2 linked regions of the Mytilus edulis genome follow. The protein of the gene in region 2 purifies or fractionates together with the protein of the main gene of each other region. This does not show direct contact. Links are inferred from orthologs where the notes say so. Each region holds a gene or a part of one and is shown on either strand. Other genes may lie near its edges.

What was found.
Region 1: the proteins of AP-4 complex subunit mu-1-like (region 2) and AP-4 complex accessory subunit Tepsin-like purify together in Homo sapiens (co-immunoprecipitation; 3 studies listed by BioGRID and IntAct, with this or other methods). This does not show direct contact. The link is inferred for Mytilus edulis from reciprocal best matches to the Homo sapiens genes AP4M1 and TEPSIN.

What each region holds. Positions count from the first base shown.
Region 1 is NC_092352.1:20,598,719-20,616,052, forward strand, and holds the start of AP-4 complex accessory subunit Tepsin-like, read left to right. Parts: upstream 1-8,511; 5' UTR 8,512-8,564; intron 8,565-8,615; exon of another isoform or gene 8,616-8,676; intron 8,677-13,509; 5' UTR 13,510-13,592; coding exon 13,593-13,619; intron 13,620-14,311; coding exon 14,312-14,384; intron 14,385-15,033; coding exon 15,034-15,125; intron 15,126-15,543; coding exon 15,544-15,637; intron 15,638-16,093; coding exon 16,094-16,161; intron 16,162-16,767; coding exon 16,768-16,858; intron 16,859-17,334. Other genes in the region: cholecystokinin receptor type A-like, read right to left, coding at 3,635-4,669. UniProt on the Homo sapiens protein: Associates with the adapter-like complex 4 (AP-4) and may therefore play a role in vesicular trafficking of proteins at the trans-Golgi network.
Region 2 is NC_092346.1:61,084,013-61,100,785, reverse strand, and holds the start of AP-4 complex subunit mu-1-like, read right to left. Parts: upstream 7,253-16,773; 5' UTR 7,188-7,252; coding exon 7,127-7,187; intron 1-7,126. Other genes in the region: RAC serine/threonine-protein kinase-like, read left to right, coding at 14,045-14,102, 15,659-15,781. UniProt on the Homo sapiens protein: Component of the adaptor protein complex 4 (AP-4). Adaptor protein complexes are vesicle coat components involved both in vesicle formation and cargo selection. They control the vesicular transport of proteins in different trafficking pathways.

The sequences.
Region 1 (17,334 bases), on a different chromosome or scaffold from region 2:
GACAAGTATTGTCAAATTAATTGCCAAGAACACCTCATATCATGCCATCTTTCATGCCATCTTTGAATTAATTTTATACAAGTATTTAAATATCTGCAAAGGCATTCAAAGTTTTAAGCAGTCCATGTTTAAGTTTTAAATTGTAAGTTCTAATCTCGATTTATTTTTATTTTTTGTAAAAAAATATGATTTTAGAAATAATTAACAATTTTTTTGAAAAATCACGTTTTTGCCTTAAATGTAAATGAATTTGTTTGACAAGGAAAAAAGCACTCGGTAAAAATTAAACAAATTGGGATATTATTAACCTTGGTACAGTGTACCCAATTTCAATATAATATATATATATATGAAAAATGCATTGCCTTGTATCGTTTCTTTTGTATACTAGTATATATTGTACAGCCGTTGATCAGCGACGCCTAATCAAAACTTGATGTCTTTGCTTGTATATTGTTTTGATACCAACAAGAACAGCCCTTCAAAGGGACGGTCTTTCGTTACCGATTGTGATTTTTTTTTCTTTTTAAGACGGTAATGTTCCTTGTGCCCTTCTTACAGGGTGTTATATTCCACATTTTTTTCGTTATGTCTATGCCTGCAGTCGAGTTTTAGGTTTCAATGACTGCAGTTTATGGATCAATGGAAAATTCATGGCCATGATTTCTTTACCATAAATTTTTTATCAAAAACGTTAATACCGAATTGTTTCAAATATACAAAAATGTAATCAGGAAATTTGGCAGTACCTGTTGAAAACTTTTAAAACGAGTAAGCACATCCTAATCTTTTACGGTAATAGTTGCCGTTTATAGAGCCCGTAAATATAGAGACGAACTATGTTGCCTCATTGATCATTTGAATAAACTTATTATTGAAGGTTATCAATTTAACACTTATTAAAAAATTGTTCTATCGGTACTTACACTGAATTTGTTTTGAAAAAATTAATCCGGTCAAACATAGATCGCTATCTATACCAGTATATATTGAAATATTCATTAGATATTACCATTTTGATATTTTTGATTAGGACAAGAAAAGTATATTGATGTTACATCAAAAAGATATTTTATTATACATCAAACCTATTCTTTACATAGATGTAAATCAAAATGTTTTATAAATATTTCTTTTACACATCTAAAAAATATATATATTAAATGTTATATAAAAATGTCCATCAGATATTGATTGAATATTGCAAAGAAATATCTCCTCGGCATACAATTGTTCTCATTTATAAAACTGTCTATTTAACGTTTTAAAAACATCAGCAAAAAATATTTATTATTCATTATAAAAAAATATTTACAAAAATGTGTTTATATTAGCAATCAAACATTGGGACGAAATATCATTGATAAAATATCATTAATGCATAATTTCTGATGTAAAAAAAATGTCTTTAAAATGTTTTTTGGTAATATTTTTGAAAAACATATATATAACCAGTCAATAATATCATGAAAATATTATGTGTTAGCTGGGTAGGTAGTGGTGATAACTCATAATCCTACATCATATCGGTGACTGTTTACTCATATTTTAACACTACATAAGACAGCCATGCGTTTCTCCCTACTGTTTAGGCAGCAACCATTTGATTTTCTGGGGGGGGGGGGCTATGTTTTTTTTTCTGTGCAATCTAACAATCTATTTTTTTAGCGACAAACCGAAAACAATTTTTTTCTTTCAATTTTAGCATTACATATAGTGGCAGCTGAGGGTGAAACAAACAATTTTTCTTTCTCAGGGTCCAAAACAAATTATTTTTTCCACCAAAACCTGGAAACAAACTTTTTTTTCCAAAACCACTCCCCCCCCCCCCCCCAGGAAATTAAATGGTTGCTGCCTTATGACGTCTTTATGTTCATCAGTGATCCGTGTCTATTTGTTGTTTTTTTTGCCCTGGATATTTTGCTTCGTAACAATCAGTGAATCTTTTGAGTTAACACCAATTGCAACAGATGTTAACACTTTGTTCTTCACTTGTTTTTTTCAACTCCGCCACTTTGTTATTGTCCTGTTCCAAGTCAGTAGCCTGCAGTTCGGGAGTTTTTATGGGTTCCTATCTGTCATTTTTTTAATAAATTGTTTTGTAATAAACTAGTATAATGCATACTTTACGGTATGGGGTTTGTTGAAGGCCGTACGTTGACCTGTAATTGCTTATATACACCTGTTTGAACTCTGATGACTCGTTATCTCACAGGCAATTAAACCACATCTCCTTATTTTTATTTTCAACTGTCACCAACACCGATGTTCATTGAAATACTTACAACAAAATACAAAATAATGGTAACTTGTTTGATATTTAAATTATATTTTGTAGAAATGTGACCATGATCATTAGCTGTCATGGTCAGTTCACGCACCCCATCAGTTCGCCAGTTATTGTCTTTGTCCATCCTTCACTTTTAGACACAATGGATATCTTATCGATTATATACGTTGACATATAAGCATCTGCAGATATACCAAAAAAACAGTATGTGATCCCAAGCTTTAATTTTATTATACTTTCAATAATGCAGATGGGCAGCTGATTAATTTCTAAAGCTAGTATTTATTTGGTAAGATAACTTAATTTTAGGACTCTTGTAAAACAGTTGGTTTTCTAGATCTCGTGTGAATTGTTTTACATTATAAAAAGTACCGACGCCTTTTATTTAGCTTGTTATGCCGTATGGGTTTTGTTTATTATTGTAGGCCATATGTTAACCAATTCAGTGTTTCTAACACCTATGTCATTTAGATAGTTGTCGAATTGGCGATCCTACGTGAGTACCACATCTTTTATCTTATTTTAAATCAAGGCAATAGTAGTATACTGCTGTTCTATTGGCATAAATCGAATTAACTGAAACAAATCCGGGGCACAAACAAAAACAGAGCTAGGGAAACAAATCAACTATAAGAGGAAATCAACGGAACAACAGAAACACTGAACTGCTACAAAAATAAAAGCCAACCTACATAGAAGCGGATTTTTTTATAATAACTGCCATATTCTTGACTTGGTACAGGAAATTTAAAGGAAAAATGTGGGTTAAACATAGTTTTATGGCTAGTGAAACCTCCCGCTTATATGGCAGTGTCAAAATACCGCTATTAAAATGACAACATTGCATGACAGGAATACAGTACAAATAAATGGGAGGAAATTCAGAACAGAAATATACACAAATAAACAAAATGATAGTACATTTCAACGTTTAACTACAGTATAACAACCATCACATAAAATTAATTTACGATAGTATACAAATACAGCACACAGAATTATGAACTGTGCGTCACAAAAATATATATCAACGCCACAAAAAGGGACGTAAAATTGTCGATAATATCTCCTTTCACATTGTTAATTTGTTTTCTTTAAATTAGAAAGTATTCTTTGGTAAAATGTAAAGTCCCAGTTGATCTTATTAAACTTGCTCTCTTTCCCATTCATTGCTTCTTTACTGGAAGATCAGTAAGAAGTATTTTTTTTTAATTTTTCATCGCTAATTTCTATTTTCATATTGAACAAATGAATAATTTCTCGTTACAAACTAACTGTAATAATGTTTTCTAAGCCTGAGAATACACAAATATACAAAAAAAAAAAGACGGTATGCACAAAGAATCATGAGCAACGAAAAAGACTGACAACCTCTTTGCGAAATTTCAAGTCATAATATCCGTATATCAACGGATTAACCACGTGATTTATCACATAAAATCTTTGTAAAATAAAGTAGATTATCATCTCTGTTGTAGAAATATTGTACCAAAGTTTGTGGTTTAATTTACTTATGATTAGAAAAACACAAGTTGGTGTGTAAGAAACGAGATAAAATATAATAATAGTCAAAAACATGCTGTTGAAATTGATTTTGCTTGCGTGCATAGTTTTCTTGCGAGTTATTTCGCCTGTGCTTCCATCGCTTGGTTTGGTTTCCGATATAGATTCAAATTGTGTAGAAGCAATGTCCATGCTTGGTCGTCGTAAATCCTTTAGTTTTATATGTCGATATAGCTGAAGTCCAATAGGGATATAGAGAAATGAAATAGTAAGTATGTTTGCAACCATTAAAAAGAATATAATGTAATAATAAATTGCTTCATAGTCTGGGTATTGCCCAGAGCCAGTAAAACACGTCCATCCGGTAACGTTCAAGCCATTGAATTCTCCTTCGATATATTTGTTTCCAGAAAAGAGTAAAACAGGACACGAATTAACAATAGAAAATATAACGATAACAGCCAGACATATTTTTCGTTTTGCTTCGTCCATTTGTTCTCCTAGCGGCTTACATATTTTCAAATATCTTTGAACAGCAATGGCTATAAGAAGCAATGCCGATAAACTGGAAGTGCTTGTCATTGCAAAAAGAAGACCTTTACAGAGTCCTGTGGATGGAAAATCCACAAAATATATAGATTCCAATACATAAAACACAGATGCAACTGTGCCGGATATTAGATCAAAAACTGCCAAGATCGGAATGAAATAGCGGTCGTCTCGATTTGCTTTCATTCGAAAGAAATATACCATGAGAACAATTATGTTTCCAATAAATCCAAGCAGAAAAATTACACCTTGAAGAAAAACACTCGGAAGTAGTTTGTCGTAATAATCTTGATTCCACTGTAGAGTTAGATTATAATTAGAATCCATGTTCAGAATATTCCAAAGAAAAATCCACAAAATGTTATAAAATACCACTCAGACAGAAAGGAAGGAAATGCCTCATTTCATATAAAATAATGTTGTATAAACTTGGTCATCTGACGTTGGAATTGAAATGTAGGTAGTATTTATAAGTATTGAGTATGTATAAAATGTGAATTTAAATACTTTTCGTCTAAATTGTTAAATCTTGACCATGTAGCGTAAAATTAAAGAAACCTTAGGGTGATTATAACCAGCTACTGCTGTGATTAAAGAGCATTAAATATCATTACTCGACAAAATAACATAATATTCTCATAGTCCTTTCTAGGTTAATAAGCGCAGATAGGTCATTTTGTAGTAATTTGTATTAATAGTTAAGCAGAATGAACTGGCTATCACAAATTGACCTGACATGGAAATCCCTCATAATGAAATTATTACATATATTTATGAGATTTATTAATCCTATATATTTTTCTACCCTGATTAGGTTAAATAGAGATGGTAGATTAAACAGGAAAAGTATGTCCTCTTGACATTTTGGTAAATTAAGATAACTATTGCTACTGTCTATTAGTAAACAGGAAATAATTTACAGCAATGTTAAATTGGAACCAAAGTGCATCTTTAGAAAAAGTATCGGGACAGAAACGAATCAGAACCTATGCGGTATGGGTTTTGTTCAATTTTGAAGGCAGTATGGTGACAATTCTGTCTCTGGTGAAGGAGTTGTCTTATTGTCAATTAAACCACATCTTCTTATCTTTATACTTCATTGTATTTATTGTAACCTTGGCCATCAGATGTGAAAACATGCTTAATTAAACTTTGACTCAATTCAGTCCGTCAGTAGTGGATATCAAATCTTTGGCAGATTTTTGTGTTTGCCTTGTATAGAACTTAATCATTGTTGTTATGGGTATTATAGAGGGTTCCAAGTGTTTCACCTCCATCTTCACGAATTGTCATCAACATTATTCAAACTGTGCACAGTGATTGATCGTTCCACATAGATTGAAAATGTACATACGTAATGAAGGAGCGCTCTGAAAAGTGGAACAGGCAAACTTCTAAAAAGTGACAAGGAAAAAAAAGAGAGTGAAATCCCTTCTATAGTTAAATAGTCAGTCACGTCCCTCTATCATTTTCGGACGCATGAAACTATTAAACGTCTTGTTTTCCATTTTTTACCATGCGGTACGGGCTCCGTTCAAGGTGAGTTGTCACATTGGCAATCATACCACATCTTCTTATTTTTATATATTTATGCATTTTGATTGGTTACAACTATAACAAAGAATAAATTTGTCCACGTAGGATTTTTTGGCACAGGAATATGTTCTTCCAAGAACCCCGATTCAAAACAGGCACAAACACGGTATTGTTCTTGTTTGATATTTTTTGTTCTCGCCCTGTATTTATTTCTGGGCCACTGACTGTTCAGCATACAACAATCAAAATATTATAATAAATAAATATTTAAATCAACACGTACCATTTAGAGCACTTTTTATAATTTTTTTCAGAAATATATATATACTTCAATTCTTTACTAAGTATATATTTTAATTAGAAATTAGAACAGACTTTAACTTTTTTGATGGCGCATTTATTTTAATGATCGAAATGAAAGAGTCTTTACACTTTATAGGACTGGACATCAGAATGAAATATTTTATTAATTTGTATAAGACACGGGCCTGGAGCTATTGAATACCAAGTGTGTATACATCTTTTATCAGAAATTGAATTAATTCACCATGTGATTGTCCATGCAGTAAACGTCTTCATCATTTCCCTCCAGTCATAAGTTGTTTATACTTTATATTTTTATAATACAATGTTTTTAAACCACTATAGCTGTTTGTTCAACTGTTTGTCGCTTCTTATTACTACTATATTATTGAACCTGGTTTTTAGGGGATGAGGAACAGTTTGCTGACTTGTCCTACGACATACACAAAACTAAACCTTGTGGAATTCGGGATTTAGAAGGCATTGTAATTGTGTAAGCACATCGAAAGTACATGTGCATTAGGGTAAATGTATATGTAGAATTTATACTTCTATGAATAAATTATAATCATGAAATCAAGACATAAAGGTATGAAATTCACATAAAAGGGAGTTATTTCGCTTTAAGTTGCAATATATCTTATTGAATTCTTAGACTTAAGAAAAAAACACTTTTAAAAACTTTTCCACAAAAGAGGGTCCCCTTTGCCCCTAACCCCGCCTCTGTATCTGCATCTGTATGGGTTTCGTGTGAGAACCATACGGCATGCAACAATAAAAAAAACTCATATGTTATATTCAACTATAAAAGAATGTTCAGTCTACAGCGGGTCTGATTAACTGAGTAACTGATTTAAAATGGGGTTTTCTTTATTGGTCGGTGCATGGATGCTGGATTTTGGGTTTGTTATCTTTTTTGGTTTATTTGGCTTGTTGGTTTTGAAGGTGACATCACTGGTTATTGAACCTCAAATAATCTGTAGAAAATGTTACTCTCTGTTGTTTCCGTCTGTCTTTTAGTGTTTATCATCAGATCTTTCATTTTTTTGCATCCGCATCACTTGATTGTAGTCATTGTTGATAAATATTGCTGCCTTTCTTCCTTTCTTTCTTTCTTTCTTTCTTTCTTTTTTTCTTTCTTTCTTTCTTTCTTTCTTTCTTTCTTTCTTTCTTTCTAGTTCGTCCTTCTCTTGTAAGCTCAACTTGCCAAATTGATATTTGCAAGCTTTTCCCCATCACATCTGAAACTACTGAGCAAGATTGAACAAACTTGACCACAATCATCCTTATGATATTTCTCTTTAAAAATGTGTCTAATGATTCACGACAACCTGCCAAGGTTATAAAGGGAGATAGGATATAATTGATGTATTGTCTATAAGTTATCTTGTAAACTAATATCGCTTAAGAAAATAAATCCTCGGCATACAGGACACGCATGTTCAGAATGTCAAGATCGGTATAACATTCATTTAGACCAAACTGTCAAGACAACATTTGATAAGGCATTATTGCGCTGAAATGACCATTTTCACCTTCTTTTTTATTTCGAGTTTGACTAGTATCTTCAAAACGATAACAAATAAAGGGGAAATTGTAATCAGGCATAAAAATGATATTTGCATGGCCAAAATCGTCATTTGACCCCCAGGAGAGGTTATATATTTCGCTTAAAAGCAAATTTTTAACCTTTTTTTAAATTTTAACCGAAACTTTAATTAGTAGAATTGAAAGAAACTGCAAAATTGACCAGAATTGTTAGCTGATTTTTTTAAAGGAGTTATTGTCCTTGCTTGATGATGTGTACTCATTTTTAGTATTTTTGTGCATCGCCTTTATCCATGACTGGAACTCTTGTGAATAGCTTTATCAACGGAAATCCTTTCACATCTCTCCTTATTTTTGATAAGCATTTTATCAATTTGATGCAAATTTGACAGGTGAGCTAATCAGGCTTCTTGGAGCCTCTACTTTGTATATGCTCTCATTATCCCTGATTAATCATACTACAGATAAGTATTCGGTTTTTCCCTGCATTTTATGTTACTTTGCACACCAAAACAAAACGGTGAGCCCCGGTAGTATCAGAGACTCTGGTAGTATATACTTTCAGTACACTTTTTTGAATCATCTGTATGAAAACATACTATTAAAAAGCTAACATTACACATCGGACCCTTTAAACATTTTGATTTTACTGGTTAACACAAAACTTAAAGCTTATCCGATTAAAAAAAAATTTAGGATTGAAAGTAAAAAAACGCGAAATAGGATAATAGTAGAGCTTTGCATTCTTATAAATTTGTTATGGTTTTTGAATAAACCATTAAAACAAGCGGTTGTTTGATAAAGATTTAATATGACCAAAAACCAAAAAGAAAAGGTAAATAAATATTATTTGTTGGAAATCATAATTTCAATACCCTTGGTTCTGGTCATCAGACCATTATAGGATTTTATTTGAACAAATATCAACATAAAACATTGCACCAGTAGTATAAAAATGCTTTCTCTTTTTAGTGACAGATAATACCTTTATTCTCAAATTAGAGTCTATCCCTGCTTTCCTGACCTTGAATAATTCATGAATATTCATGAACAATTCATGAATATTCATGAATAATATTCATGAATGTTCATGAATATTCAAGGTAACAGTTCATGAATATTCATGAATATTCATGAATGTTAAATGGCACCTTGAATATACATGAATATTGTTTGAACTGAATAAGCTTGAATATACATGAATATTGTATGAACTGAATAACCAAGAATTAACATGAATAATTATCTATAGAATATTCATGAATATGAAATAGGATGTCTTTGAATAATGCATGATAGAATATTCTAGAATCACCATGAATGAAAAATATATATCTATCCCAATATTGAATGCTAAATACATACTCTAGAATAACCTTGAATGTGAATATTTCATGAATATTGAATGGTTGAATGTTCTAGAATAACCATGAATATTGAATGGATGAATATTCTAGAATAACCTTGAATATTGTCATTTGAATGGTTGAATAATCTAGAATAACCATGAATATTGAATGGTTGAATATTGGAGATTAACCATGAATATTGAAATAAGTGTCCTTGAGAGGTTTTTTGAAAACCAAAAGCAAATACAGACATTTAAGTTTAAAATATTTTTAAATCATGATAGCTGTGAAATATGAATTCGTTGGAAAAATTTGGTTGATCATATAGGGAATCACTGAAGCATGACTGGAGTGCCCCCTCCTTATGAAAAGTTCTGGATCCGCCACTGTATTGATCCAATATCCACCCGTTTGTAGTACATGTATGTATCACATTTTTTTGAAATAGTAAAACACCCATGCAACCATGCATCCCGTATTGCTTGATAAGGTTGGAATTGGGATCCATACTATAAATGGGTGGCTATTGGATCTAAAATTCATGTAGATCAATAAAAGTGACTTTACAGATAAAATTATAAAAATTCATGATTTTAACACAAATTGAAACCTTAAATGTAGACTTTAATGGCCAGGTGGGTAATTCAAACATGTTAAAAGTTAATGATAAGCATACATTGTACATTTGACATGATAATGAGCTAACTTATATCAAAGATCTGTGGGGAAAAAACAAATGAGATCATTCTTATCAGAATGTCATTAAAAAAATCAATGCAAATATTAGTATATTTTGTTTTTTTTCAATATTGGTGCTTTAATTGCCATGCATTATGGATTAAACACATTAATCGTTTATCTGATCATATTCAAATATTTAAATAAATAATAATATTAACATCCTATCCATGAAAAAAATATGGCCTGCATGGTTATGATGACGGAATAAAACCTAAGAATAAAAACATTGACTATGGTCAGCTTAATAAAACCTCACTCAAAAACTGATTTAATAACTATAATATTAAAACTAATGTGTCAGATATAAACTTCTCTTCCTTTCTGTAATTTAAAACTTGCTGTCTCTATACTTCCAACTAGAATTGCTGAATACAGGTGTTAAAATGTTGTCTGCATAAAATCTGTTTCATATAATTGCTGGCAGCTCATATTTAATCCCCTAAAAGTACAAAAATATCCACAAAGAATCAATTGTTCAAGAGGTTATGAAGCAATAAATTCAATAGAAACATTATTGATTTTGCAGATGTATTGTATCTTACATTGGAAGCCTAAACGCAAATTAAGACCCCCCCCCTTTTTTATCCCTTGAAGATTATAGTTTTCACCAAGTTTGTTCACCTAATTTAATTTCTACATTATAAAGTAGAATGTGGTAGTGCATTTTTTTAAAGTTATTGACTCCACATTATTAACCTACAGTTTCTCTTTGTACATGAATGTGACAACACCACATACATTCATTAGGGAGCTACCATTTGATTTTTATGGGGGGGCTAGGATGAAATTTGAAAAAAATAGGCAGGACAGGAATTTTGAGTAAAAAAAAAGGCAGGATGAGACACTTGCAAAAAAAAAAAGTCAGGATGACAATTTAGGTAAAAAAAAGTCAGGATAAACTAAAAAAAAAAAAAGGCAGGACCGAAAAGAGTGAAAAATAAAAAGGCAGGACAGAGATTACAACTAAAAAAAAATGCAGGACACAATTTTTCATCCTAGCCCCCCCATAAAAATCAAATGGTAGCTCCCTTACATTAATTGTCTGTCAAAACTCTCTGGTGTTTTCTGAGATTTTAATCCTAAATGTATTATAATAGTGCCTAAACAAATTGCATTTTATAATTATTATAATTATTATAGGTTAAATTAAAATACTTATCTGAAAACATTTGCGTTGTGATTCTCCATTTTGTTTATCCAGCGTATTTTGATGACGTATGCCAGTCCGTTTCCGTCAATGTGTCAATCTCGCCCCATATATTATCGGCCCGAAGTTGATTCGTCCCCGTAACGGCGTTTCAGTGAAACTTCTCAAAACAGGCCGCCAGTCAGGTCACGCAATTACGGCCGATTTGCAGGGTTTGGTTAGTTGAAATTTAAAATCACGAAGAGTAACTTCCCCTTAATATGGGTGTTTTAGAAATATTTTAAAATGTATTTGTTCTAACTCAAATATACGTTTTTCTTTGTAAATTTTAGTATTGTGAATGAAATCTATCGTAAAATTCAGCTGCAACTAGTATTTCATCTTATTTTTTTAATTTTATTTTGCAGGAATAAAAAATAAAAAATACCATACTTTAATGATTTTCCCCTAATAATTAGGTGAAATGTTCTATTCAATGCTCAGCCATTGCATTTCGCGGTAAATCACTACTTTAGAATTTAGAGATCATAATGACACTAAATTGACAAGATGAACAGTACTTAAACAGTTTACAGGTGACCTGACTTACAGACGATCCAAGCTAATATTACATAGCCTTCAAAACGTTGAAATTATATGGACAGGGTACAAATGAATTGTACTGATAATAGCTGTTAGAATTTAATATGAGTACTTTTTCTACCAAAATTACTGCCCATGCATCAGTATCTTATTATTGCTTTAATTTTCAAAAACAATGTTTTAAAGTGCACAAGTGTTTGTTCACAGTTTTTCATCACTAAATGATCAAACTACTCATGAGTTTTTTGTCATGTGCACTTGGTTTTCCAAAGTATTTCATCGAGTTATATATCATATATAACTGTGGAATACATACATGTACATGTACATGTATGTTATTCAGCATCAACAATCAAGTAAAAATATACATACAAAAGTCCTAGAACAAATTTCATTATCAATTTTTATGCCGTTTGCCACAAATAATTCTGAGTCATTATCATGCAGCTTTATTCATGCTTATTCATGTTTGTCACACAATGGAAAAATATTCTAAGTCCAAAATTTATTCCTCATTATTCATTCTTATTCATGAAATGTATGCAAAAAAATTCTAAGTCCAAACATTCATTCTTATTCATGTTTATTCATATTGACAAAAAGGGTTTTATTACCACAAAAAAACAATTTTGAATGAAGGAAACTTGATTATACTATGATATAGGTAGTGACTAGCATTTTAAGAACATTTATTTGTTGTCTCCAAACAGTTATTAAGAATTCATGTATATTCCACTTAATTCATGTTTCATATTCATGAATAATTTTGACACTGGAATAGTAACCATGAATGGAAGTGGAATATTCATGAATATTCATGAATATTCTACTTTATTCATGAATACATGAATATCATGAAAGCAGGGATTTTCTGCCATAAATCAAAATCTTTTGCTTAATCAAGCTACTACTAGGTCAAATTATAACATTACTAAATATCAAAATTGCACATTCAAAGATATTTACAACAAATGTCCTACCAAAATGTGGGGTGGTCTGTTTGGGAAGGACATGAGGATAAGCTGATCATGGTCTAGTCCAAATAATTATTTGGACTAGATCATGGGGTGTTCTGATCCCGGATCCCACTTATTGTTTTGTCAGATTCCCGTATCCCACTTACACACTATGTACGTAAGCAATTCTCATTTTTTTCTAATTTCCCGCATCCTTCTAGACTTCATTTCACGTTTTCACGTCACAATAATTACTTTCACGTGTCACACTTACAAAAAATCAGCAATCCCACGTCACGCTTAGACCCCAATGAGACCCACTATGATGTCTTGGAGTTGAAAGGCAAAAAATTGAAATATAGCCTTACAAGACGTTATAATTATAATATATTGTCCCCTGAACAACACTTAATAGTTGGGGGAAATAGAAATACAGGGTGTCTGTCCACGAGGTCTTATCGCTGCCAATTTTAGTGCCTGTGGGTCTTGTTAGCGCTCTCATCAAAATTTTTGAAAGGAGTTATGCTCCTTGGAATTTTCAATAATGTGGAAATTTACCTTACAAGCACCGTAATGGATATAATTCTTGGTAGATTTTTATGAAATATATATAATCAAATATATAATGCCCTTTGAATTATTGCTGATTTTATGTAAAATTGCATTAACAGAATTTTATGAAACTTATAGGTTTATATTGATCATGCCTGCAGCAATGTCGTGGACACTTTCAAAAATAAGAGATGATCAAATGTTTTTATGAGTGTTGCCACTATTTATTGTAATGGAAATCACATTGCATTTGCTCTAAAGCCTTCATTTCTCTAAGATATTTATGAAAAGTTTAAAAAAAAAAAAAAAAAAGTAAAAAGTGCTTTATTTAATAGATATTACCCTTGTACCTTAGATAGACAAAATTTGTGGTACATACTTTTAAAATTCATGTACCAATAATAATGAAAATAATATGTATATTGATAATTTCATTAAATCTTATAATTTCAGATCTTCATATTGTTTGGAAATGGAGAAGATATGAAATATTCTACAAAACTTCAGTTCTGTAATGTGACAGTGGTGCCAATATCATGGACAAAGTTTCATTTGTTAATAAGGTACATGTACATCTTTCATTAATTTAAGTTAAAGAGGTAATATATATTGTGGTACATTTTTAAGTGCTTGACACAGATGTATCTGTGTACATGGTGTATGACATACGAAAAAAGGGTATTTTATGGCACATAAGAGAAGGTCTAGAGAAAATTTATAAGTTGCTGTACATTTGTCTCCCCTTGATTAGAGACAAAGTTGCCCGAAATTAAAACTTTTTTTTCAAAATGTCTACAATTTACAGAATTTAATCTATTTACTTAATTGAATTATTGTCATTTAAAAAAACGTATTTGTCAATAATCTCTACTCCTATAAAGTGACAGTTAACTGTATTGAAATGACATATTTGTACAAATGTTAAACTGTCTTGTCTATTCTGAGAAGTGACACCTTTGTTAAAAAATATTTGTACAGACTATAGTGAACACTTTAAAATGAATGCTATCACATGTACAAATTGTCAGGAAAAAATTACATACATTAATGCTTGATTCAACATAAACATATTTGAAAAATCATGGAACACAATCCTTTGAAAAGATTTACATTTGTATATAAATGAACCAAAAAGATGATGAAAAGTGTTCTAAAATTAAATATAAACTAAAATAATATTTTTAGAATAAATTGCTTATAAATGCTTTATACATACAATGTATATCCACACCTAATAGTTGAGTACTGCTTTCAGATAAGTGTATTGATGAAAGCTACCTCAGATGATGCCAACCCTATACAAGGTTATCTATATCAGGAAGTCAATAGTATCCTTCATATTGTGAATAAAAGTTATCCCAAAATTACTGAATGCAGATATATTTATATTTTAATGATTTAAACATATTTTGGTTTTAAAATGTTAGATTACTGACTATTAGGTAATAATATGTATGTTTATGGAATAATCTTCATCCATTAATGATTAATCTAGAAGTTTTAGCGGTAGACAAATAACAAAAAATTGCTACAATAGTTACACATCCTCAATAGGACTTATTAAAACAGAGAAGCCTAAATGGTCTATAACCATTTTGTAACTGGAACTTTCAATCTTATTTTAAGTGCAATTAAGTTATTAATATATTAAAAAATTGTATATTAAAAAATGATAATTGAAATAAACAATTTTAATCACACCAGTAACAAAGTGGTGGTTGTCAGGAATATGGCTGACTCAGGTAATACAGTTGCAGCATCAACAAAGACAGGCAAATTTATCTAATTAAGGGAACTAAATTTCTTTAAATACTTTTATTTTTTTTTACATAGAATACATAACATATCATAACATAAAATATTCCAATATTTTTGTTATAATTATGCAAAAACAAAATAACTGTTCTTGTATGTTGTTCGTTTATGTATCAATTTAACAAACAGTGTTATCATTGTTTTCTTTAACATCACAAACAGAGATTACATTTGAATCTGATGGGTACCGAGAGAGCACTCTAGAGTTTCTGGTAGACAGACTTAACAAACAATCTTGTCATGTTAAATTTAAGGTAAGATCAAGGGAAGTAGTCCAGTCTTCAATACAATTTTAGATCAAACTTAAAAATTAGTTTTGTAATTTGCGAAATTATTGCATACATTTGTTTTTGCAAATTTATGAAGAATGGACAAAAATGGAAAATTATTTATTGCTATTTCAGGAAAAGCAGTCTACAGGTATATGTACCCAATATCAGATTGTTAGCTTTTATTATTTCGGTATACTCATTCATTTTGCATTATTCACATGAATAAAAACCTCACAATGATTTCTGCATTTACAATATAAAAAAAAAATTATTCTCCATTTATATTTGGCTGTTTAACTATAATGTATCATGTACATGAAATAATTTTTGGAAAATATATACTTCCTTTTAGAGGCTTCTACAGCAAACATCCTCCGATACTTAGTTTATTTATGTTTAGGTGCTGAAATTGCTTAAGTTCATAGTAGAGAATGGACCATCAGAATTTAGACTTGGATTGATGAAGAATTCTCATGGCATCAGAGAAGCTACAAGTAAGTAAAGATCATATTGAGATTTTGATGATTTAGGGATGAAGATGCCCCATAGCAGTGACTGTTTGTCTAGCTCTCATCTGATTAAAAGTGTGATGGATACCAAAGAAACAACAGCACAAGTTCAAATGAAGAATGCTTTGTTCATTGTTGAAGGACATACAATGACCTATAGCTGTTAATTTCTGTGTCATTTGGTTTCTTGTGGAGAATTGTCTCATTGGCAATCATACCACATCTTCTTTTTTATAATTAGTGTACCAAACAATGCTTGTAATTACTTAACATGCTTAAAGCAAGCTCAAAATATTGCTGAAATGAATTATATTACTCTACACTATAATATTGGCAGCCCTACTTTATAAAATTATATATGTATCATTGGTTTATTTAGAATAATAGCAGCTAGCACAGATGCATGTGATTATTAAGAATTGTTTAATTTTTAATTTACAGAATATAGTAGTCCAGAAGATCCACTACATGGCAATGTACCCAATAAAGCTGTTAGACAGATAGCACAGGTACTACAAGATTGTTTACACATTTAACATAGTTACTGTAACATGTGTTAGACAGATTGCTCTTAAGAAGGTAGTAAAGCATTGGTTGAATAAATAGAACAAGAATGTATTATGTCCCATAGATTTAAAAGGTAAAAGTAAGAAATCTTTAAAAATTAAAAAAACACACAAACAAGACCAAAAAAGTTTATAGACAGAAATTGGCAGCAGATAATTTTCACCAAAAAGGTCTTTGTCAAGGGATGATGATCACTGAAGAGTTTCTATTGAAGATTTTGATATATTTTCATCCTGAGGAAATTATGAAAAATTAGTATCCATAAAGTTAATATATAAACATCATAGTATTTAGTTGGAGACAAACTAAGTTCATTTGGTGTTTGCAAAAAATGCAGAATGAATTCAAGATTTCAATATTTTTTGTTGCAATATAAAGAATATAAAAATATTTTTTGGGGATGTATGGGCCCACAAAAATTGCTCTCATGAAAATGAAAGAATAATTTTACAAACATAATGAATCTATTACAGGTTTATGTTGTAAAATGTTATAATTGATTTAAAGAACCCATGATTCATCACTTATGACATGCCTTCTATCTTTAGGAGTTATCACAGTTGTTATTTGACACAGAATTAAAACAAAGCCCAGGAATGCAACAAGAAAGGTCAGCACAAGACAAGTCCAGAATCACAGGTATCAAATTTAAACTAATTACAACAATTCTCTCTATTCAGTTCCTCAAGAGAAAAAAGTTATTAAAGATTAACATGAAAAATAAGTCATACAATATCTTTTGTTGTAAATGTCTTTTGTTACATGTCTTATTTTTGTTTATGTGTGACATGAAATGATTTCTCATTGATGTATACCCTATACATCTACATTATTCTTAGTTACAAATATAAAAAAGGAAAAAGATACATGTATAATTACCAATGAGACAATTCTTTTCAAGAGACCAAATGACAAAGAAATTAACAACTATAGGTCACCTTACAGCCTTCGACAATGACCAAAGCCCATACACCATAGTCGGCTGTAAAAGGCCCTGAAATGACAAGTGTAAAACAATTCTAACGAGAAAACTAGCGTCCTGGTTTATGTACAACAAAATGAAAGAAAAACAAATATGTAACACAGTTACAAACGACAACCACTGAATTACAGGC
Region 2 (16,773 bases):
TAGGGGGGCGTTAATTAGAAGGGGGGCTTTAAATAGAATAAATACGGTAATCCATAAAGGAAAAAAAATGTTTCTCTCTTAATATCATAGTTTTAAAATAATAGGCAAAATTGAAAAAAATTGGGCAATAATTCCTTTATATACATGTAATTAGTCTTACAGTTTTGACATGTATGGACATGGTTGAGCTCATAATTTATATATTTGTTCTCCTTTCAGATTTTCCCTATATATAACAGTTCAAAATATAATAAAAACTAGAGGCTCTCAAGAGCCTGTGTTGCTCACCTTATACTGTATTTACTGATGTCAACCATCTTGGTTGGTAGGCGGGGCCATTAGACACATTTTTTTAAATAGATACCCTAGTAATGATTGTGGCCAAGTTTGGTTAAATTTGGCCAAGTAGTTTTAGAAAAGAAGATTTTTGTACAAGTTACAAAAATGAATAAAAGTTGTTCAATATTGACTATAAAGGGCAATAACTCCTTAAGGGGTCCTCTGACAATTTTGGTCATGTTGACTTATTTGTAGATTTTATTTTGCTGAACATTATTGCTGTTTACAGTTTATCTTTATCTATAATAGTATTCAAGATAATAACCAAAAACTGCAAATTTTCTTAAAATTACCAATTTTAGGGCAGCAACTCAACAACAGGTTGTCGGATTCATCTGAAAATTTGTGAGGGGATAGATCTTATTCTGATGGACATTTAAATATTGAAAGATTTGCCATAAATGTCTTAGTTTCAAAGATATAAAGCAAAAACTGCATTTTACCACTATGTTCTAATTTTAGCCATGTCAGCCATTTTGTTTGGTAGGCGGGGTCATCGGACACATTTTTTTAACTATATACCACAATGATAATTGTGGCAAAGTTTGGTTAAATTTGGCCAAGTAGTTTCAGAGGAGAAGATTTTTGTACAAGTTAAAAAAAATGACGAAAAGTTGTTAAAAATTGACTATAAAGGGCAATAACTCCTTAAGGGGTTGACTGACAATTTTAGTCATGTTCACTTATTTGTAGGTCTTATTTTGCTGAACATTATTGCTGTTTACAGTTTATCTCTATCTATAATAGTATTCAAGATAATAACCAAAAACTGCAAAATTTCCTTAAAATAACCAATTCAGGGGCAGCAACCCATCAACAGGTTGTCGGATTCTTCTGAAAATTTCAGGGCAGATAGATCTTGACCTGATCAACAATTTTACCCCCTGTCAGATTTGCTCTAAATGCTTTGGTTTCAAAGATATAAGCCAAAATATACATTTTACCCCAGTGTTCTATTTTTAGCCATGGCAGCCATTTTGGTTGGATTGCCAGGTCAGCGGACACATTTTTTAAACTAGATACCCCAAGGATGATTGTGGCCAGGTTTAATTAAATTTGGCCCAGTAGTTTCAGAGGAGAAGATTTTTGTAAAAGTTCACGGACGATAGACGACGGATGCAGGGCGCGGGACGACAGACGACGGACGCCAAGTGATGAGAAAAGCTCACTTGACCTTTCAGGTCAGGTGAGCTAAAAACTTGCATTTAACCCCTATGCCCTTTTTTTTAGCCATGTTGCTTGGTAAGCAGGGCATCAGACACATTTTCTAAACTATAGACCCTTATGATGATTGTGGCCAAGTTTGGTTAAATTCAATTTTTTGTCTCAGTAGTTTCAGAGGAAAAGATTTTTGTAAAAGAAACATTTTTTTTTTAAATTGACTATACAGGGCAATAACTCCTTGAGAGGTCAAGTGACTTGATTCACATAAAATATGCTTACTTTTAAATGAAATAATAACTGTACCTTAAATAGACCAGTTAGACATTTGAATTTTTTTGTCACTTATTGTGAACCCAAAAGGCGTCATTATAGAGGAAAGGGTTAACCATGTTGGTCATCATGGTCATATTGCCTTACTTGTAGATCTTACTATGCTAAACACTATTACTTGTTTATAGTTTCTCTTTCTTTAATAATATTAAAAACTTAACCAAAAACTGAAAAAAAATCCTGAAAAATTACCAATTCAGGGGCAGCAACCCAACTATGGGTTGTCTGATTTGTCTTAAAGTTTCAAGGCTAGAAGCTCTTAACCGGATGTACATATTATCACCAGTCATATTTGCTCTAAATGCCACAGTGTTTCAGAAATATTAGCCAAAATCATTTACCATAGGGCTATGTTTTTTTTTACTCGTCAACCTGAACCATGTTGGTTGGTAGGTTGGTATAACTACTGATCGTGTTTATTATAGAAATATTCCTAGGAACAACTACTTCCAGTTGCAGGTTCAAATATTGTAGATGTTTGGTCCAAATTACCTTACTTTAGACTGCTGTACCCAGATGAGTTTCACTCCAGGTCCAGCTCCACCAGAACTTGGTTACGATGTCATATGCAGGGACAGGAAAACAGACGCCCATGGAGGAGTCCTCATAGCAGCAAAGACAACACTTGGACTTAGCCATCTTAATTCAGGGAAAGACACAGAACTCATATCTGGGAGCATCAACATAAACCAGAAAAAGAAAGCCATAATAACCTGCTTATATAGACCACCAAATAGGATTGATCAACAAACTGCAAACAACGCAATACAAGACATCACTGATCTACGCAAAAACCACAAAAGTAGTATTTTCATCCTTGGTGGAGATTTCAACTTACCAGACATTGACTGGAAAAACTACACAATACAGGGTACTCAAACATCAAGAGATATTAACAATGCATTTCTCGAAATGGTAGCCAACCTAAACATACAACAGTTGGTAGACAAACCAACCAGGGGAGATAACACCTTAGATGTGCTGTTTACATCCCATCCAGGCCAACTCAATAGATGTAAAACCATAACACCTCTTGGGAACAGTGACCATGATATAGTTCTTCTAGACTTTTCACACGGCTTACAAAAACCCAATCAGCAAAAGAGAAAAATATATCTATGGAAAAAAGCTAACATTGCCATGATTAATCAGCAACTCAAAGAAAAATACAACATCTTTAAAAACACAGATTTTGAGGATGTTAACAGCCTTTGGACCAACATAAAAGGCTTGATTTTAGATACCATCAACCAACATGTACCAACCAGGAACACTTTAACAAAACATTCCCATCCATGGATGAACTCAGAGCTTAGACGACTCAGTAACAAAAAGCAGAGGGCTTATACCCTTGCCAAAAGCAGTGGGAAAACACGAGACAAAAAGAAATACAAATTTCTGAAAGCACAACTACAGAAGGAGGCTAGACAAGCACAGAGTAACTACATGGAAGATATAGTAAGCAACGACTTGGAGAAAAACCCTAAAAGATTCTGGTCATATGTAAAGAGCCGGAAACAAGATGCATCCCAGATTGTGACCTTGAAGTCAAAAGATGGCTTCCTACTACATAGTGACACAGATACTAAGGCATCTATACTGAATCAGCAATTCCAGTCAGTGTACACCAAAGAAGATACCGGTACGTTACCTGACCTAGGCACAAGTCCACATCCAACCATGGACAATATCGTCATCCATGAAAGAGGTGTCTACAAACTCTTAAAGGGACTCCGACCATTCAAAGCAACAGGCCCTGATGAAGTTCCAGCAAACATTCTCAAACAGGCAGCTGAATCACTAGCTCCTTATCTTACCCGGATGTTCCAGCTTTCCCTGGACGAGGGTAAGATACCAGACGAATGGCGCAAGGCAAACATCGTGCCAATCTTCAAGAAAGGAGAGAAACACCAACCTTCAAATTACAGGCCTGTGTCATTGACATCCATAGCATGCAAACTACTAGAGCATATTATTCATAGCACAGTAATGGATCACTTTGATCGACACAACATTCTATGCGACGAGCAACATGGATTCAGAAGTCGACGCTCATGTGAGATCCAGTTAGTTGTAACACTAAACCAGATTGCCAAAAACATGGACCAGGGGCACCAGACTGACATCATCTTACTGGATTTTTCAAAAGCCTTTGACAAGGTACCACACGAACGCTTGCTTTTGAAACTGGCATACTACGGGGTGAAAGGATCAACATTGAACTGGATAAAGGACTTTCTAAGCAGTAGAACCCAGTCAGTTGTGCTAGAAGGACATACATCAACTCCTTTAGATGTAATATCAGGAGTTCCACAAGGGACAGTCTTAGGTCCTCTACTATTCCTGACATATATCAATGACATGCCAGATTGTACATCTTCAGATGTAAGGTTGTTTGCGGACGATAGCCTGGTGTACAGGAAAATTGGAAATCCTGATGATGCTGCAACTCTACAGAGAGACCTCACTGCTCTGGAAGAGTGGGAACACAAGTGGCAGATGTGTTTCCATCCAGAAAAGTGCACAGTCATGAGGATATCTAACAAGCGCAACACCCTGCAAACAACATACACCTTGCATGGACACCAACTAGAAGTTGTTGATAGCGGAAAGTACCTTGGAGTTACCATTAGTCAAGACAGTGGAATAAGCACATTAATAACACCACAGGAAAAGCAACCAGGACCCTCGGTTTTCTCCGCAGAAACCTGGGCCGATGCAAACCATCTGTAAAAAACACAGCCTATTGTGCACTCATCAGACCATCGATGGAGTACGCTGCCACAGTGTGGGACCCCCATCAAACCACCTTGATCAAAGACATCGACCGAGTACAGCGTAAAGCAGCACGATTTGTTTACAACCAGTACACAGACACCTCCCCAGGATGCGTCACTGGACTATTAGACCAACTCCAGTGGGATCCACTACAGTATAGACGAATTAAACAGCGACTCGTCCTATGCTACAAGATACAGAACCAACTAGTGGAGATACAACCAGCTATCTACTACACATCTGGGGACAACAGAACAAGGGGTGGCCACAGACTTAGACAGATAAGAGCTACTAAGGAAGTATACAACAACTCCTTCTTCCCACGCTCTATAAGAGACTGGAACCTTCTGCCAGACACAGTAGCAGCTGCACCAACACTCACGGAGTTCAGGGCCAGATTAGCCAGTGTGCCCTGGACCCAGATGCAGCCTAACTAGACATCAGCCTGCCAAATTGTACAGTGTATATAGTTTTAATCAGTGGCGGATCCAGGGGGGGGGGGGGGTTCCCCTTTATTTTTGCCGATCAATGCATTTGTATCGGGACATATGTTTTGCACCCCCCCTTTCGAAAATTCCTGCATCCGCCCCTGTTAATTATTTGTTAATATTTACTTTTAATCAATGGAGAGGTCTCCTGTTTTACCGAGCCGAGTTAGTAAATCACTCAAATATGAGGTCAACTCCTTAACGGAAGAAGAAGAAGAAATAGGACAAAAAACATCAAAATAGACACTTTTTGAACCTGATGACTTACTTTGGTGCAAAAAGAGGAAGGGCAGGGCCAGGCCCCATGAATCGTTCACTGTTGCCTTTTTTGTCTGTCTTGTTTAATTTGGTATATTTTGATATGTCTGTTTTTATGATGTGAGGCTTGCCTTTAAAATGAATCACACTGAGACAGAGCAACGATTTGTATAGTCCTAATAATTATGACGTCTTGAAGGACTCCGCATTATTATAATTTTATGCTTTGACGCCTTAATTTCAAGACGTAACAATTATTTGAGTAGGATTTGTATTTGTATAGTAAGACTTAGGTTGGTCCCCTCCGTAAAACATTCAGTATGCCTTCGGAATATACAATAATTTCAATAACGGCCGGGAAACAGACTAAGTAAGACTTATCCTTGACTCATGGGTTATTTCGTACTATCAAGAATGCATTGTGACGTCACAATTTCCATTGAACAAGCATGCATATGACGTACAAAAAGATATTAATCTGACCATGCTATATAAATCTTTGACAGAGCCACATTTTTTTTTACCTATATATATGTATCTGACAGTAATTTTAATTCCTGTAGTCTAATATATATTTTTGTTTGTGTTCTTTTTTTAATTGTTCATGAACATTAACAATGTGTTAACTGTTGATATTTATAGCCTTTTTCTTCTTCGCTGTGAATACCACTGTCACTCTTATATAATTATAATCAATTTAAGGTTTATGTACCCTTCTGTAGCCATTTTTGTTCGAACTTTTCAAACTTCAATTGTATCAAAACTACAGATATTATGAATAATAGAGATAGGCCATTTTGTACATATTCCAAGGGGAAACTTGATGCAAAGCATTTTTTTTTACTGTTCCATTGCATTTAATAGAAACAGAGGACATTGTGGCAAATAAATCAAGATTTTTATAGAAAATCCACAGCCTTTATCCTTGTACTCTCATATTTGGCAATTTGATGACTGATAGATATAGGATTATTGCATGCAGTGCTAGCATTGATTTCCTTAAAACAAGTTTATAAATGTAGTTATTGGTTAAGACAAGTATAAATATGGCCAAAATCAAGTACACCTTTTAGGGTGCGGTCGACTTTAGTGACTCAGCACGAGGTGTTTTGGAATTTACAGGTTACTTAGAACTTTTTGTAAAAAATAAACACTAGCACATCATAGAAAATCAAGTGAGTAATTTATGTTTCAAATTTTATAACAAAAATTTCTGTATTAAAGGATGTGGATTTTCTATAAAAATCTTGATTTATTTGCCACAAAGTCCTCTTTTTCTATCAAATGCAATGAAACAGTAAAAAATAATGCTTTGCATCAAGTTTCCCCTTGGAACATGTACTAAATGCCCTATCTCTATTATTTATTATATCTTTAGTTTTGATACAATTGAGGTTTGAAAAATTCGTACAAAAATGGCTACAGAAGGGTACATAAACCTTAACTATTGTCAGTTTATTGTCTTAATTTTGTATGCCATAACCATTTAATGTAAATGTGTTTGTGCGAATAAAATATTGTCTATTGTCTATATCTACAAACTTTATTATTTTTTAATTTTCGGATCATTTCCAGAGACATGCAGCTCAAAAGCTTTTTGTGATGTACATAAATCATAAATGCATTTATTTTTTACTTGGTGTTCCTTACAGGAAGGAGATACAGAGAAGCTTAGAAGAAGATTTATGGAAATCTCAATTTGATCAGTTTTGTACTTCAATCTGACCCCTGTTCTTTTATGCAATTATTGAATAGCAAATTTAGGATACAGGATTTATATATCAGAACAGATTCCGTGCCTGAAACAATGAATATTTCACTGAAATGCATTATGAATCCTACAAATGGCTAGCAGACACCTGTCATCCGGGCATATCTTTAATTCCCGTGTCAAGCGAGAAGAAACGAGACAACATTACTGATGTGAAATGCTGGAACTCTTTGCATTTTCTTGAAAGGTAATACTGAACATTTGTTAATTCATATCCACGAAAATATTTTACAATTTTGTACAGATTCAGGGACCCCTTCAACTGACACAAAGTGAAGTCATCTTCAGGCACTTGTTGATCTCCAGAAATAACTTCAAGAAAAAAGGGGGAGGGGTGTTAAAATTGCTCAGTGACATGTTGACAGGTCTGATGTGATGGTTCTGTGAAGAAGATGACAACGCAATGCATTTTTGCGTATTAAGAATTCAGTCCTTATTTATACTCACAACCTAAATATCTTAAAAAAACAAATCAGTCCAGCAGAAATTTATCTTTGCAGGAGGAACTTGCTACTCGTATATCATAATAAATAATCATAGAAAATTCTACTTGTTCAGAAACATAGTGATAATCAGAGTAAACATTCTGCCTGTCATGCTTTTTTTTTATATTAAATTGGGCATGGATTTTCCAACCCCCCAAGAGTGACTGGGGAATAGAAGTATGATCAATTGTCTTCTTCCGACCATGGCCAGTAGTAGAACTCTTGCCAAAGTGGGACATCTCTTTGGGTTAGCGTGATGTACAAGCTGTGCATGATGTACAAGTTTGTAGCCATGTCTGGTCAGAATGGGGATGTTAAATCTGATGCCAAGTGTGAAGAGAGTGGCTGTGCCACACTTACTACATGTTAAGAACCCTTGCAACAACTCTTTGAGGGGTCCGTTGGTGGCCTGTTGCAAGGCTAAATTTCTGTGTCTATCGATCTAGAGGAGACCTTATATATATCCATTAAACCCTCATTTTCCAATGGCAGTCAATTTTCTTCCTAACCTTGAACCTGAATGGCCTCTTTTACATGACCTACTTATTGTATTTATTGTTAACTTTGTTCTTGTCCTGATCATGCATGATATATTTGTCACTGGACGTTAAGCAACCAACAATTAATCAATCTTTGTGCGAATTTTGGCCCCATTTCAGAAGAAAAATATGCTCTTTTTTCCAAATTTTCTGCTCTAAAATTCCGAATTGTAGAAAGACATTGTAGCAAGATTTTTTTGATGTCCTATCATGGTTTTTTGTTTACAAATCTCTTGAGTCTTGTTTGCAGTTCATGCAGTTATTCTTTTTCAAAATGCAGGATTTTCCTCCTAATTTTTTTTAAAAAGTTCTTGGGGGGGGGGGGGGTGTCCCCAAACCCCCCTAGCAAGTTGCACACTACATCTGCATGTGTGCCCTCCCTATAAACTGTTCAGCGTAAACCATTATAGGTCAAAGTATGGCCTTCAACATGGAGCCTTCAATGGGTCATACTGAACAGAAAGCTATGAAAGGACACAAAATGACTTGTGTAAATTTTATAATAACTATATATACTTGTTAAAAGGAATTACCCTCTTTTATGTATTGAAAAAAATTTTGAGTCATTATGAAAAAGAAGGATAACCAATGAACCAAAAAACTTTTTAAAGGAACATTCTTTTAATCATCAGGAAAATTTTCAGCAGTTCATGTAGTTTTAGAAATATATACTTAAATCCATGTTCCTGTACATGCTCTCTAGTCTCCTACGTGAATACATTTCTATCTCGTGAAAAAAAATGTTTTGGATTAAAGTATATACATGTAAAATGTACATGTATACCACATAAATATGTATGTTTTTGGTGTACTGCTTTTTCACCGAATTATGATCCATTGTAGACAGTATTATTAAATATGAAAATTATACATCATATAAACCAAACGTTTTTATAATGCCTCCTGATCTGTAGCTTTGTTTTTGTACATATATAATTTATTGTACCAAATTTTTCATGAACAGTCAGTGTTTTTTTTGTTGTTCAGGCAGTTCTGGAGCTGTCTAAATTTTGGTATACATTTATACATGTATTTATAATGAAGACTTACAGACCAATGTTGGCTTCTGGTTCACACAAATTGTTAAATAAAGATTGTTTGACTGAGAAATTTTTGCATCTGTCTTTTATATCCAGTATCAATATTTACTGAATCAATTCCTTACAGTAGTGATTGGCTTTGAATGTCTGACAGTTTCTGCCAAATTTTCAAGTATACATGTACATATTACATGTATCTTGTAAACAATTGTTCGAAATTAAACAGCTAAAATAATCAGATTCTTCGAATTCAGTAGAATGAATCTTAATGTGTAAATGTAGTTCGATTTTAGGACCTTTTTTGAAATTGGTCCACATTGAGGTCCAAAAGTATACTACAATGTATGTAAGTACTTGGTCAGGAATAATAATCAGACAGCTGGTCATTCTTTGTAGAAGCAATCTAAACTACATCAGCTATTCTTTTAAGCTTTTCTAGATTACAACATAATGACTAATCTGACATCTCCACCAACCAAATAGTTAAAGTGGTAATTATACTAAAGGAAAATAAAAACAAAACTGCATTTGTACCTATTCATAACTTTTCAAACATGATTAAGAAACTCAATAAAAAGTCCACCTTTAAAATTTCGATTGTTCTTAGACAAATAACTTGAAATGTTACTTAAGGGGGAATCACAACCAATTAATGCAGGACATTATACAGGTTAATGCCATCATGGCTGACATTGCTAACAATGGAACGTTGGGGGTAAAGTTCAAGGTTTGTCTTTTATCTCAAAAAACCATTATAGATAGAGTAAATTAGACTGGGTCAGAATTGTAAAGACTGGTGAGATTTACTTTATAGGTCCTAAGGAGAGCAGATTGAGATGGTTATCCTTGTAGGCCTTTGATGGTGTCTCACGTAAATGCCTTCCTTACAAATTACAGGAAGAACACACAGGTGGATTCAATCTTTCCTAGCTTAATGTACTCAACAAGTCATTGTTGAGGGAGAATCCTTGGAGAAAGTTCTTGTGGTTAGTGGAGTCCCCCAAGCGACTGCACTTGGTTCATTATTATTCCTCCTATTTATCAATGACTTACCTGACAACATAACATCCAACACATGACTATTTGCAGATGATTGTATAGTATACAGAACAGTATATATATATACTAAAATACTACTAGCTATATATAGAAGATCTCTAAAAATTTGCTGAATGGGAAAAAACCTGGGGCATGCAGGGCTACCAGACGACTAGGATGCAGAAGTCGCTTTCCCATCCGTCACTTCGCTTTGCCCGACCATCAAAAGGGATAACAAGTCACCCCATTGTTTACGATACTCGCATTCAGTCGCTTTCATCATCAGACATTTTCAATTTTAACCAAGTTGATAAAACATCAATTTTTTTATTAATAATTAATGAAATTCAGACAGAAACTATTTATTTTCTAAAGAAAAGAGGTTTAAGCATTGACTTTACAGTGTGTAGCAGGTTTATATTTAATAAAAAGACCAACTTTTTATCACTGCATGCACTTCAGGTACTTGGTAATGAGTGTGTACATCAATCTAACTTTCGGCGGTAAAATAAGTTTATTACTTCATTTGAAAGTAATGAAAGTTGCCTTCAGTAAATGTTTAGTCGATTTATTGCATTAAAAACATCATATTCCTTTGCAAATAGCTTGTCAAACAAACATAATTTTACTATATGGATATAATTTATATTGATTATTTCAAAATATTGATTAAAGTTGCTTAACTCTGAGACTATTATACTAATATCAATATATTTAGATGGCCCAGCTTAACTTTCTATATCTTTTGGTGAGAAACACTGAATTTCATAAACATGATAAACAAGACAGTTTTTAATTAAATTATAATTCATATAAGGTACTATAATTTCTTAACCTTTTTGACTTAATTAAATAAAAAATCTTTCAGTCAGGGGTACTACGTAATTACTAGCTTGTACAAGTAATTTTAATTTACTTGAAGAAGTAAAAAAAATATACTTATATATGTAAGTTTGTAGGATACTTATACAAGTGAATTTTATTTACTTGTATAGGTAGAACAAACTTGACTTAGTTATGTCCCTTAGACATTCAGATTTTTTTACTTATATAAGTGAAAAAGTCATCTTATCTTCATTTCTTAAATTCTTAGGATTTCTTTGCTCTAATAGAATTTAAATTTGTTTGCCCATTGCAATTGTCTTTACAAATCATTTAAGTGTAATTTCATGGACAATGAAAATCCCATTTGTCTGTTATCTTCAGAACACTGGTCATTTACAAGAAAATTTGAGAAAATTAAGGGGAGATTATTCAAACATTATAATTTACTTATATAAGACGTATATTTTTTGTTTACTTCTTCAAGTAAATAAAAATTACCTGTACAAGTAGTACCCCTGACTGTCTTTTTAGTGCTAATTATTTAGTTGGTGGTTTCTCATAAGAACCTTAACTTAAACAACTTTGTATTTGAACTGTTAATTTAATTGTATACTTAGATATGAGTTGGACAATTTAAAAAGAACATTATTTACATTTGACCCTTTATTCTATAGTAAAATCAAAACATTGAAGAACAGCCCACGAAGGAGCCTTTTCTTTCAAATCTCACCACTTCTCCCTATCAGTTTCAAAAAGAGAATTCACTTCTCCCAATGATTCTGAAGTAGTGTGAGCCCTAGAGCATGGACTTTCACCCACAGAAGTGCAGTGTACAAACTACCACCAGATCACTTTCACCTACATTGTACAAAACACTCATACATGTACATGCTTAAGGGACAAGTGCTAGAAAGATCAGACAGAATTTCATGAAGCTTTGTAGTTACAATGTAATAAGGAAACATAATGTAAATGTGCATATCCACAATATATTTTCATTAGGTAACTTTTGTAGGAGTTATGCATCTTTGACAATTTGAGGGTGTAGGGTATTTGAGTTTCCTCTCAAAGTTTTTTTAAAAATTTTTATTGGATTTTAAACAAAAATAATGGAATAATTTTGCAGTACATTAATGGTTATACAATGTATAATTATACAAAATTTATTAAATGAAAGCTTAAATGCTTAAATGTATTTTATCTAGCTATAAGAACAAGATTGAAAGAGGAAAAGGATTGATTGATCAATTACATGTATTGACAATGTAGTGAATGATTGTAAAAAAAAAGAGAGAAATATTGATTAATTTAAAGTTCCATCACCAGCTACAGGGCTCACCACGTGCACACTAGCAGTTTCTTGTAATAAATGCCAAGTTTATGTACAAGTACATGTAGTCATAGATTTTCTGTCAAGTTATTACATGTTTCTATTTGATTTTGCCAATGTCTTCTGTTTCTTATAAAATGACTCCTCATTTAAATTGCATGTCAAATGCATGTTAAATAGTTATAAAAAAGACTCCCACACGTAAATAAGACGGGGAGTAATTGTTCTATTGTTAATTGCCTACAGGTTTTCATTTGAAGTGACCGGTCATCCTAATTAACACACTAAGTCAATGACAATTCTATCTGGCCACACACTCAAACCTATATTATGTCATAAATTTGATCACTATTCAAATTCAGACAGTATCAAGCTTAGGTATATATTGTATCCAAATTTGCCTTAACTGTTCAGGGTTCGGTGTCTGCAGTGGTATAAGGCTTCGCTCAACGAAGCATTTTATTTTAATGTTTGTATGTCCTTTTTTTGTTCCACTTTTAAGACATAGTACACATACAAAATGTAGTAGGTTACTTCATACATGAGGTTCAATAAATACAAACTTTTTTACATTTATTTGTTAAAAGAAAATTTCTGATCAATTGTTTCACATGAAAATGAATGTAGAACACCTGTAAACAGTGTTTTAAATTTCAACATCTAAGAAATTCATGTTTTGAGTGCATTGTAAAGGAAATGTTCAAGACATTTATATTGATGTTTTAAAAATATTTGAAATTTTATGTTTATTTGTTAGAATTCACATATATATCACACAAATGTACTAAGTTTTGAATGCTTCTTTTTGTAAATTTATTGGGGTGTAAAAGCGTTGACCGAAGTACATTTTGTATGAAGTGTCACGGTCAACGCTTTTACAACCCTATAAAGTTACAAAAAGAAGCATTCAAAACTTATAATTACATTTTTTAGCTTTGATCATGAAAACACGAATTTTATATATTTTATTATTTAATTCATCTGTTCACTTTATTGTTGGAGCATGTGTTATCATGAGTGAAAAGTTGTATTGAGCAATGCAACTGCTTACGGAATAACACGTGATGTGCAGTTAGCCAATCAGAATAAAATATTATAATGAAACATACATCTAATGTAATTATATGTATGTAGAAAACTATTATGACAAAATTTTTGTATTTTCCTTTGAATTAAATGTATACAATGTATAAATGGAATAATATTCTATCATAATAATAAAAATATTTGTTTTTAATTGCATGTTCCTATAAATTTGAAAAAAACATTAAACAATTAAGAGGCATAATTAGATAGTTATCTAAATGTACATTAATTTTGGCATTATTTTCTTCCATGTTTCTTTATAAGGAAATTTTAATGGTGCAGTTGTGGTTTTCATACTATAAACAAATTAATGAATACTGTCTGAAGTTAAATTGACTTCCCTTTTACGATACATATTGAGAAAAATACTTGATGTTGTTTATCAATGTGTGAAGGTCGGAAGGGCAGTTGTTTAACAAGTAGTTGTTTATTTATACAAGTATGACAAATTTATCAGAAGGATAATTTCAAGGATAATATATTTAGGTTCTACATTAGTGTTCCTGATTGATTATTGATTGATATTAAAGTACAAGGTTGTGATGTTTTTCAGACTGACGGGCAGACAGGACAATGAACCCGTCTGGAAGTAGCATTCCTGTGGTGAAGGAAGGATATTTAATGAAAAGAGGTAAGCTTGTTTATTCAGATTTCCTGTGAAATTTTACCATTTGGAAATTGATTACATGTCCCTATTATTGACTACATGTATATGTTCTTGTTAAATAGCACGTAGTTTACAGGTAGCAATGTAAGTTTCTCACCAATGGTCAATAATTTCAACAGCTATTTGTGTAATTATTATCAGTCATCATTGTCATGGGTATGATGGATGCTTTTAGATTACAACGATTTATAGAAAGTGTAATAAAACACATATGACCAAACAATCATGTCCATTACAGTCAATGGGTGACATAGTGTATGATAGTACATGTATGTAGCTAAATATTGATAGTTTGTAGCACATCAACCTCAGATGTTACTATAGCCACTTATATATTCTAATGTGGCATAATTCCTGCTGGAGTTTTCCTTTATTTTATTTTGTTCAGCAAGTTGTTAATGTTCTCCATTATAAAAAAAATAACCTTAATACTAAAGTACATTTACAAAACAAATGTACATCACACCCAAGTACAATATATCGATGACTAATATTTTTATAAGTGAATGTACATGTATGTGAGTTTAGACGATCACTCTGAAATTTATTTTTTATTTAGTAGAAAAATATACATCAGGTTTTCAAAAGGATCAACACCAAATTATTAATACTCATTGTGTCACAATGATACATGCAAGGAGAATACAAGTTCACAATTGCCATAGGTGTCCATGAAATACATGTAGAAGATTTGTATTTATTGAACAGTTGAAACAGGGTCTAATACCTGAAGAAAAATCTGTGTTGTATATATACTTGATGACTCTGACAATGTTCGATAAACAAATATTCTCAATATAATGATATAACCCAAAAATTTGAAATGTGTGATTTTGTCACTTGATATGCTTCCTTTTGATATGAGTGGGATCTTATATATCTGAAATAAACAATAGAAGTTGTGATTAGGTTTCCGTTTGCTATTTCCCTATTAACGTCTACTGTACGTACATATTGACAGAAAATAGAATAAATGTTAAAAAAATTAACTAGATTAGTTTTAAATTGGTTTGTAATGTGTTTTTACCAAATTAGATTCATTGCCTATCAATACATTTGACAGTTACCTTACTTTATCCAATGGAGTCCAGAAGTGTATATTCTATTTTGGAGTAAAGACTATGTAGGTTAAACCTCAGAGATGAAGCGACTCAACTTTAAAAATTCACCAAAGTGTAGTGGTCACAATATGATTAACAGCACCCAAACATGAAGACAAGAATTTGAATTAGTTAATTTATGAACAATTTCAACTGATATAAATCTGCATCTGAAATCAATGCCAAATTCCCAAAGATATATGCTACAAAAAAGATAGACAACCACAATATCTTACAAAGTTCCCAACTGTCATATGCAAGTGGAAGAGTTAAAATAGTTTTTTTAATACTTATATTTCTATCTAGAATGATTTAGTGAAAAAGAAAATCTTGATTAAATTCTTAAAATATATTATTTTACTACATGTATTATACATTTTTACATGCAATGACTAAAGTGTTGTTTTTTTTCTATTTTAGGAGAACATATAAAAAATTGGAGAAAAAGATATTTTATTTTAAGAAAAGATGGTTCCTTTCTAGGCTTCAGGGCAAAGCCAGAACAAGGATTTAATGACCCACTTAATGATTTTACTGTTAGAGGTAAAAAGTAGAAGATATGTTTAACTTCACTTTGTATAAACAAACAGATAACATTTATGTGCTAAAATGCTGCAGCTAGTTTGAAACCATGTGAACATAACTTAGCACATGCGATTAGGTTCACTTTTTTTACTAATTACAATGAAACATAAACACAATGACCATCTCAAACTTTTATTTTCATGCCCCACCTACAATAGTAGAGGGGCATTATGTTTTCTGGTCTGTTGATAAGTTCGTTCGTCCGTTCGCTCGTCAACCATTCATTCGTTCCACTCAATGACCAATATTTGATCAAGGTAGTTTTTGATGAAATTGAAGTCCAATCAACTTGAAACTAAGTACACATGTTCCATATGATATGATCTTTCTAATTTTCATGCCAAATTAGAGTTTTACCCCAATTTTACGGTCCACTGAACATAAAAAATGATAGTGTGAGTGAGGCATCGGTGTACTTTGGACACATTCTTGTTAATTGCAAGTTTAAACTCAAATATAAAAGCACATATTAACACTTAAGGAATTGCTTGGAAGAATCCTGCACATGTTCAGCAACAAAACAATCTACAAAATAAAAACAAGATGTTTAAGATACTTAAACAGTATGAATACAAAAATAGTATTGGAAAGAAAAAAATATACTTCTAATTAAGTAGAAGATTATGTGTGCTCTAAAAATCCTAAAATTAGAATTGGTACACAAATGGTTCATATCAAAATTTTCAACAAAGATTATACGTTTTAGAGTAAATCAGCACTTTTTATGCCCCATTTAGGCAAATTATGTTTTCAATCATTCCCACTTCAAGTTTTTGGTCAAGATGATTTTTGATGAAGTTGAAGTCCAATCAACTTGAAACTTAGTACACATGTTATACCTATGATATTTCCTTAATAATTTTAATGCCAAATTAGAGTTTTGACCCCAATTTCTCAGTCTATCGAATATATTTTAATAGTGATTTCTTAAAGAATGACTTCCTATTTGG